2 linked regions of the Xenopus tropicalis genome follow. The protein of the gene in region 1 interacts with the protein of each later gene in a biochemical or structural test. Links are inferred from orthologs where the notes say so. Each region holds a gene or a part of one and is shown on either strand. Other genes may lie near its edges.

Evidence for each region.
Region 2: the proteins of calr (region 1) and mbl2 form a complex in vitro, tested with the Homo sapiens proteins (2 studies listed by BioGRID and IntAct). The link is inferred for Xenopus tropicalis from reciprocal best matches to the Homo sapiens genes CALR and MBL2.

The regions. Positions count from the first base shown.
Region 1 is NC_030679.2:139,718,449-139,722,669, reverse strand, and holds the start of calr (calreticulin precursor), read left to right. Parts: upstream 1-1,398; 5' UTR 1,399-1,432; coding exon 1,433-1,526; intron 1,527-4,188; coding exon 4,189-4,221. UniProt on the Homo sapiens protein: Calcium-binding chaperone that promotes folding, oligomeric assembly and quality control in the endoplasmic reticulum (ER) via the calreticulin/calnexin cycle.
Region 2 is NC_030683.2:50,573,820-50,578,076, forward strand, and holds the start of mbl2 (pulmonary surfactant-associated protein D), read left to right. Parts: upstream 1-1,352; 5' UTR 1,353-1,734; coding exon 1,735-1,764; intron 1,765-3,545; coding exon 3,546-3,738; intron 3,739-4,257. UniProt on the Homo sapiens protein: Calcium-dependent lectin involved in innate immune defense. Binds mannose, fucose and N-acetylglucosamine on different microorganisms and activates the lectin complement pathway.

The sequences.
Region 1 (4,221 bases):
CTCACCTGGTAGCCAGACATAGACTACTTGTACTTTTATTTAAGAGTTAAATATAAAATTAAAGGGCCAGTATCCCCAGGAAATAGAAATAGTTACATAGTTACAATGACCCAAAAAGAAAATAAACATACAGTTCATGTAGTCTGAAGGCTGATCTGATGGCTTCTTCCCCAGGGTCAGTGATCAGAAATGACTGCAGTGATTGGGAAACAACTTAGGGGAGAATTCTTGAGGGCACTGAGCACACCACAATCGCCTTTTTAGACAGGATGGGGGGTTGGGCTTTGTTTAGTCAACAAAAAGATGCCAAACACAGCACTGCTGGTAGCAAATAAACTGCCATGAAAACACATTTTAGGAGTTTGCCTGGTTGCAAGGGTACACTGGAGCTTAGCAACCGGAGAGCTGCTGGATTAACAAAAGTGGAGAGCTCCTGAACAAAGAGCTAAAGTACCAAAAGGAATATCACTATCACTTTAATGTAAAGGGGAACTAGCCCTGTAACAGTAATGTTGGATATTGCTTGCAGGAGGGGTCAGGTAAGTGTATGTGTGTATGGGGAGTTAAGGCAATGCCTGGCTGACAATCTGTTTACATTGGGTCCAAAGTTTATTGCTTAGAATTTGGGCAATTCAGGTTGGGACAGTACAAGGCTGGGCATAGGGGGAATTAGAGAAAGGAGCTGAGCCAGGGGAAAGATGGGGGCCACATATTGTTATCTCCCCCACCCAAACATATACAAAATCGCACCGACTCTGATTGAATATCTTAGCTACAGTTGGGCAATGGGAACATTGGCACTCACACTGCATAGGTGCCTTGGTCTGACCACTCATTCAACCCAAACATCTCTGCCCCCTTTGCAGACTGAATATCCCATGGTGCAGTCAGAACCCTGACCCTGCCAGCAATTGTGTGGGGGCAGTTAGGGGCAAAGTCCCCCAGTTGTAGTAGTACTTACAGCCAAGCAATACAAAGGCATTCAATAATAAACAAAAAATCAAAGAGCCGTCCCATTAATACAGAGCGCTCCTACTAATTCATGAAGGAATGCAACAAAAATGAAAATACTACCGGTTAATTATTTAGTGCAACCTAACCGGAGATCACGTGATCCAGCAGACCACGTGTTCCAGCCCTCATACCCCCGTCTCTATAGGAGACGTCCAACCATCTTACGACTAGTAGGAGGCCCCTGCGTGGTGCACGGTCATTGGTCATCGCCCGGACCAATCAAAAGCAGCCATCTGTGTTCCCTGAATGGCAGTGCGGCCGGCCCAACCAGAAACGGACACCGGTGCGGCCGCAGCCAATGGAGTGACAGGCGGAGGGAGGGAGCGGCGTAGCTATATATAAGCGGCTGTCGCTGGTTGCGAGGTGCTTAGTGGTTCCTGGACGCTGTGCTTGACAGGTCTTTTGAAGGGGCATCACCATGGCCCGCGTTGCCTTCCTCATCCTGCCGCTGCTTGCGGCTCTGTGCATCGCAGATCCTGCTGTTTACTTAAAGGAAGAGTTCGCTGATGGAGGTATGGAACGACTTCATGGCATTAGAGCTTGAAGGCAGGGACAGTAAAATACGGCTGGGTTTAACTGCAGCTCCCGGCATGCTCAGCTAGAGAGAACGCATTCTTTTGCCTTTCCCTTAATACAAGTGCCCATTGATGCACGGATAGATAGCACTGAGGGGCTGGGTATGTGACTGAGGCGCTGTAGCTCCTATGTAGTGATAATGCCTGCCCCCTGTTATACAAATACAGCCCCCCTCATTGGCCAGTAATGCCTTTACATTGGCTCAGGCCACCTTGCTGTCCCACTCTTCCTCATGTATTATGTAGCTGCACTACAACTCCCAGAAGCCTCTCCTGGCCAGTAATGCCTTTACATTGGCTCAGGCCAGATGGCTGTCCCATTCTTGCTCATGTATTATGTAGCTGCACTACAACTCCCAGAAGCCTCTCCTGGCCAGTAATGCCTTTACATTGGCTCAGGCCAGATGGCTGTCCCATTCTTGCTCATGTATTATGTAGCTGCACTACAACTCCCAGAAGCCTCTCCTGGCTAGTAATGCCTTTACATTGGCTCAGGCCAGATGGCTGTCCCATTCTTGCTCATGTATTATGTAGCTGCACTACAACTCCCAGAAGCCTCTCCTGGCCAGTAATGCCTTTAGATTGACTCAGGCCAGCTGGCTGTCCCACACTTGCTCATGTATTATGTAGCTGCACTACAACTCCCAGAAGCCTCTCCTGGCCAGTAATGCCTTTACATTGGCTCAGGCCAGCTGGCTGTCCCATTCTTGCTCACGTATTATGTAGCTGCACTACAGCTCCCAGAAGCCTCTCCTGGCCAGGGGCTTTAGCTACTAAAGGGTGTAACAGATCCCTATATAGTGTTGGCAGTGGAACTGCTGCTATTCAGACTTCACCATGATCCAGATAATATAAATATATATATATATATATATTTATTTTGTTATTATTATTGCTATATTATGTGCATTAAGCTGGATTACATAGTTATACATGGGCTGGGCACCTTTTTGGCTTTAGGTAGGGCTAGTAGGGGGGATGCTGGGAAGTGTAGTTCAATAGAGGGGATGCTGGGAAGTGTAGTTCAGTAGGGGGGGATGCTGGGAAGTGTAGTTCAGTAGGGGGGGATGCTGGGAAGTGTAGTTCAGTAGGGGGGATGCTGGGAAGTGTAGTTCAGTAGGGGGGGATGCTGGGAAGTGTAGTTCAGTAGGGGGGGATGCTGGGAAGTGTAGTTCAGTAGGGGGGGATGCTGGGAAGTGTAGTTCAGTAGGGGGGGATGCTGGGAAGTGTAGTTCAGTAGGGGGGGATGCTGGGAAGTGTAGTTCAGTAGGGGGGGATGCTGGGAAGTGTAGTTCAGTAGGGGGGATGCTGGGAAGTGTAGTTCAGTAGGGGGGGATGCTGGGAAGTGTAGTTCAGTAGGGGGGATGCTGGGAAGTGTAGTTCAGTAGGGGGGGATGCTGGGAAGTGTAGTTCAGTAGGGGGGGATGCTGGGAAGTGTAGTTCAGTAGGGGGGGGGGATGCTGGGAAGTGTAGTTCAGTAGGGGGGGGGGGATGCTGCATGTTGCAGATCCTCCTCATTGAATAAATCCCAATTGTGTTCTGTTTGTAACCTTGGCTGTGTCCCCTGCAAACAAATCTAGTGGATCCCCTGCCATCTGTACAAATATTTGTGGGGCAGAACAGCTGGCCGAGGGGGCGTGGCCCTGCGCTGACACCCGGGTCTGAGTTGTGGGTGTGGGTGCTTTGTGTAATGCAGTAAGGCTCATACAAGCTGGGCCCGTCACGTCGGCCTTCCCATACATGGAAGCTGCCGGAACATGGTGGTGTATAGTATTCTGCCCCAATCCTTCCCATGTATTTGCATCATTAAAGCCGGCCCTGCAGCCCAGAGAGTGCCTGCTGAACCTTCTGGAAGCAGCGGGGAGGCGGAGCTGGGGTTAATGGCCGGCTCTAGCCCCTCCTACCATCTATACATAAGGAAAGGGAAAGTGGAGGGGGGAGGTGATGGGGAATGCTGCAGTATAAGGGATCCTTACCTGAGCCTGGTTAGAATGATAGTATTGTGTGTATTTATTGCTTGTAATGCTCCGGTGCCTGCTGTGGGGGGGGATAGAGTGGCCATTGTGTCTGGGACTATGTGACTAGGCATCGGCTTGCATTACAGCTGCACAAGATGTGGGAGATGCCATGTTTGCTAGGCAGAGATCCATTCCCCCACCTATGGGGAGTGCCCCTGCTGAATATGGTAGCACCCAATTGTAACTGGGGTTATGGGAATATTTATTGTATGTAATTGTAGCTTCTAGTTTCTGTTCTAGTTTGATCTGCCCCGTGCCTAGGTATGTAGGGTGCCCCCCCGTGCCTAGGTATGTAGGGTGCCCCCAATGTATGTATATAGGGTGCCCCTGCATTAGCAGAGTAGGGTGTCTCTCTGCCCACTGAGGATGGGGTTTTCCCATTGCCCATATAGTGAATGCATTAGCAGTGCATGGGCTGCCGCCGGTTGTGCCTCTCTATGCGTCTATGGAAAGAGGGCATGGTACTAACTGGCACAGATAGTTGGGCATCCTTCTGCTCGGGTATGTAGGGTGGCACATTGAAGTAGCCCAGTAAGCCATTCTAAGAATCAACTTTAACCTGTCGTGTTCTTCTCTATCAGATGGGTGGTCGCAGCGCTGGGTAGAATCCAAGC
Region 2 (4,257 bases), on another chromosome or scaffold:
CCTATCCCTTATTACGCCCCTCCAAAAGACTTTCTACTGCTGATGTCAGACTAACAGGCCTTTATTTTTACAGCAATATTTTAAAAAAAAATAATTTTGCATTCCTTTAACTCCTTGCTGCAATTTTTTTTATATCTTTGTAACCTTAAGCCCTGCTGAAATCTCTATCCAAAGGGATTGACCACCCTCCCTATTGCTGTCCCTGGTAATTTCTTTAGCACTTGGCTTTAATTATGGCTTTACACTGTCCTCCGCCACCCTTTTCAATATCGTTGTACCTCCTAAAAAGGGTGTAGTCATGTAAATTCACAGCCCAATCACATTTTTCATCAGGTTTCAGTGATACCAGTCATAACATAATTTTCAGTATATGCAATATACTTCAGCTCTCATAATTTCCCTGACAAGCTCCGTGCATTGCCAGCATGCAGCAGAGGTTACTACTTTTCCCCTTAGTTAGATCTAAGGTTACTATTAGGTTGTTTTCTTTGTAACAGAGGAATCTCTCTAGCTGGTATACTGTATGCCTCCCTCACTCCTTCCCCAAGCCCCCCAGGTCTATACTAGCTTCCCCATAATCCTCTAGCTCACGCCCCCCCTTGCCTAGCTTAAACACTCCAGCCTCTTAGCCATTCTTTCCCCTACCACGGAGGACCCCCTTCCATTGAGGTGCAATGTGTCATGGCTATGTAGTTTGTACCGACTACTACTACCCACTACGTTTTGTAAAGGTTTTTACTCTGTACACAAAACTAACTGCAAATCTTGTAAAAATCACAAGTGTTATTAATTGAATGAACAGACAACATGACAATGAATATCTAATATCTTCAAAAATAAATGATACCATGAATTAATATGGGTTCCAGAGAATTTGAAAAATAAAAGTGTATTACAATATTCTTTGCCCATTTTCTGGAGCACGGAGACCTGTGGCTGCCCTCATGAAGGGGAAGGTGGGGGAGAGATATGTAGGTCTCCCCCTCTTTTCCTTACCCATCCTCTAACTTGTACATGATTCAGATGCAAAAGCTAGGGCATGGCAGAGGAATGCAGGCTGCAATAGAGTCCTGTCCTTGCCATCTTTCCTATGGAAGGTATAGGGCCCTGTTAAGTGCAGTGTTTTTATCGTGTTTAACACACATATGACCATTGTCCACATATAAAGAAGAGGTGTCTAGTTAGATATGCTGAAGATGTACTAAAATGCATATTAAAATAGCTACAGTGTAACCATTAGTCTGTGTGTAACCTTATTGTGTGGTATATAATATGTAACATTAAAACAAGGCAGTGTAGAGAAAAAGAAAGAAAGCATGGCCAGATGGCCAAAGTTCAGTTGCATAACTGAGTTTGTTTTTGTAAGTACAAATATACACTTGTAAAATGAGCATTTGGTTCTATTAGCAAATGTTTAATTAAGACTGCTGGCTCAAGAAAAAGAGGTGTCTATAACCTAAAATACTAAGCATTAGCCCAGATGTAAGAAATATACTACTATGGCTCTCCAACCAAACCTTGCCAAGGACGCATAAATAAGCAATATCATCCCTTTGGAGTTTTTCTATAATGTTAAATAACATTATTGTTTTCTCCTATCATTACAATTTTACTGTACATTTACTGTACATTTAAACAGAAAGCAAAACTACATGTTGAAACGTACCTAAACACCTGCAGACGTATGCTCGGGATTTACTTAATATTCAGAAAAACTTTCTCCGTGTTACTGGAATGTTTTTTTTCCTTCCTATGCCTATTTTGGTAAGTACAATACTTGGCGTGCCATATATCGTCACGTGTATTTAACCATATAAATAATGATAGGAATTAATTTATCTGTTGTCATTTTTTACTGTACAAATATTCTTTTTTTTAGTGTTTTCGTTTTTTAGTTGTTATTTGTTGTATTTATTTAATTTATTATTTTAGCTTATTCAATGTAAAAGCTTTGATTTATAATAAAACCATTTCCTGCAACTTCCATTAATTGGACCATATTAAAATTAGTATAGAAAATATATTTTTTTGATGTAAATTCTATAGCAATTTAAAGTTTAAAGCATGGTTACTATTCCAGCTATAAGGGAATTACTTACTATAGAGTATTATCTATCTTTGATCTTTGCAGTATAAGTATTACCTGTGAAAAAATGAATCTATTTTTAACTTAACTAAATACATACATAAAGATATATATGCACTGTTACTCAGAATTGGACCTGTTATCCAAAATGCTCTGGACCTCGGGTTTTTCAGATAAGGGGTCTTTCTGTAATTTGGATCATTACATTTTGTCTGCTAAAAATCATTAAAGCATTAAATAAACTTAGTAGGATTGTTTTGCCTCCAATAAGAATTCATTATACAGGTATAGGACCTGTTATCCAGAATGCTCAGAACCTGAGCTTTTCTAGAAAAGGGATCTATCTTTAATTCGGATCACAATACTTTGTCTAATAAGAAATAATTTAACACAACATTGAATAAACAGTACAAGGTACTGTTTTATTATTACAAAGAAAAGTGAAATCAAAAATATTCATTATTCAGTTAAAATGAAGTCTATGAGAGATGGCCTTCCCATATTTTGGAGCTTTCTGGATAATGCTTTTCCGGATAACAGATCCCATACCTGTATCTTAGTTAGGAACAAGTCAGGGACAAGCAAAAGCTACTGTTTTAATATTAAAAAGAAAAATGAAATTTGTTGATTTTGAATTAGGTGATTTAAATGGAGTCTTTGGGAGATGACTTTTCTGTAATTCAGAGCTTTCTGGATAATGCGTTTCATCATAAGTGCCTTAAATGTTTAAAAAACTTAAATAAAATATGAATAGGTATTCTATTACAGTTCTCTGCTATTTTATCTCAATCTACCTATCCCTAGTGATAGATAATGAGCGAATCTGTCCCGTTACACTTTGCAGTAAAATTCGCAAAACTGTGAAAAAATTTGTGAAATGTAATTCTTTGTCATAATGTGGCTTTCGTCAATGGCGAAATGCAAAAATTTGCCGGGAATCCATGCCTGCCGAAAAATTTTGCTTATCCCTATCTATCACTCTTTCTAATGATTTTCTAAATTATCTGAAGAATGCTTACAACAAAACTAACAGAAAAGGGAAGGGAAGGTTACAAAGGCATATAGTTAATATTTTATAGAATATATCGATTAGCTTGATGGGTTGCTGGGGTTAGCTTGGGTTGCAAAAATGTACCTTGGTACATTCAAACTTCTACTTACGCAAAATAAACTGCTGTTTTTCCCCATCCCACACATTGTTTCCCCCCTTTTCCTTCACATTGTTTAGTTATGTTTAAAATGAGGAAAGATAGCATGTTTCAGGTACAAAGGAAAAGTAAATGACTACATTTGCTAAAATGTAAAAAGACAGAACATACAGTATATCTGTTGGTGCGATCTCCATGCAAGACAGCTAACAGAAAACTTAGCAAAATTAGAAAAAGCAAATTATAAATTCAAATAAAAGTCCTGTCTGAACAACATACATTATAAATAAAACCTCTTTTTTTTGCTTTAGGTAAGGTTGAATATGATAAAAGTGCTGAGTTTATTGATGCTTTGCGTGTGCCTAAAAGCAGATAATGGCAAATGTGAAGAAATGACCAGTACTTGTGCAGTCGTTACATGTGGCGCACACAGCTCAACTGGATTGCCTGGAAGGGATGGAAGAGATGGCAAAGAAGGCCCAAAAGGAGAAAAGGGAGATAAAGGTAATGGGTAAAAACCTTTAAAGGATAAATACCAGTAGGCTATACACTAAACTATATTGCATTACCGTTCATGATGTGTAGTTGATAAGTATTTTTTTTAACTATACACTGATGTGTTGGGGTTAAGGAGAGAATACATGGATAGAAACTATATTTAGAAATGGAATTTCTTATCCAGAAATCCAATATCCAAATTGTTCTTAATGCCATTTCCCATGCAGTCTGTTTTAAGCAAATACTTATTTTTTTTCTCTGTAATGATAAAACAGTACCTTATTACCTTATACTTGAGGGGAACTAAGCTGCATAAATCCATATCGGTGGCAAAACAATCTAACTAGGTTTATTTAATGTTTAAATGTTTTTTATTAGGCATGATGATTCCAATTACTGAAAAAACTCTCTGCATAATAGATCTCATACCTGTATATATTCTACCTGGTTTTTCTTGCATTCAAACCAAGGGAAAATCCATGTTTGAGACCAAAGTGTTCATTCTACCATCTTTCATGAATGATT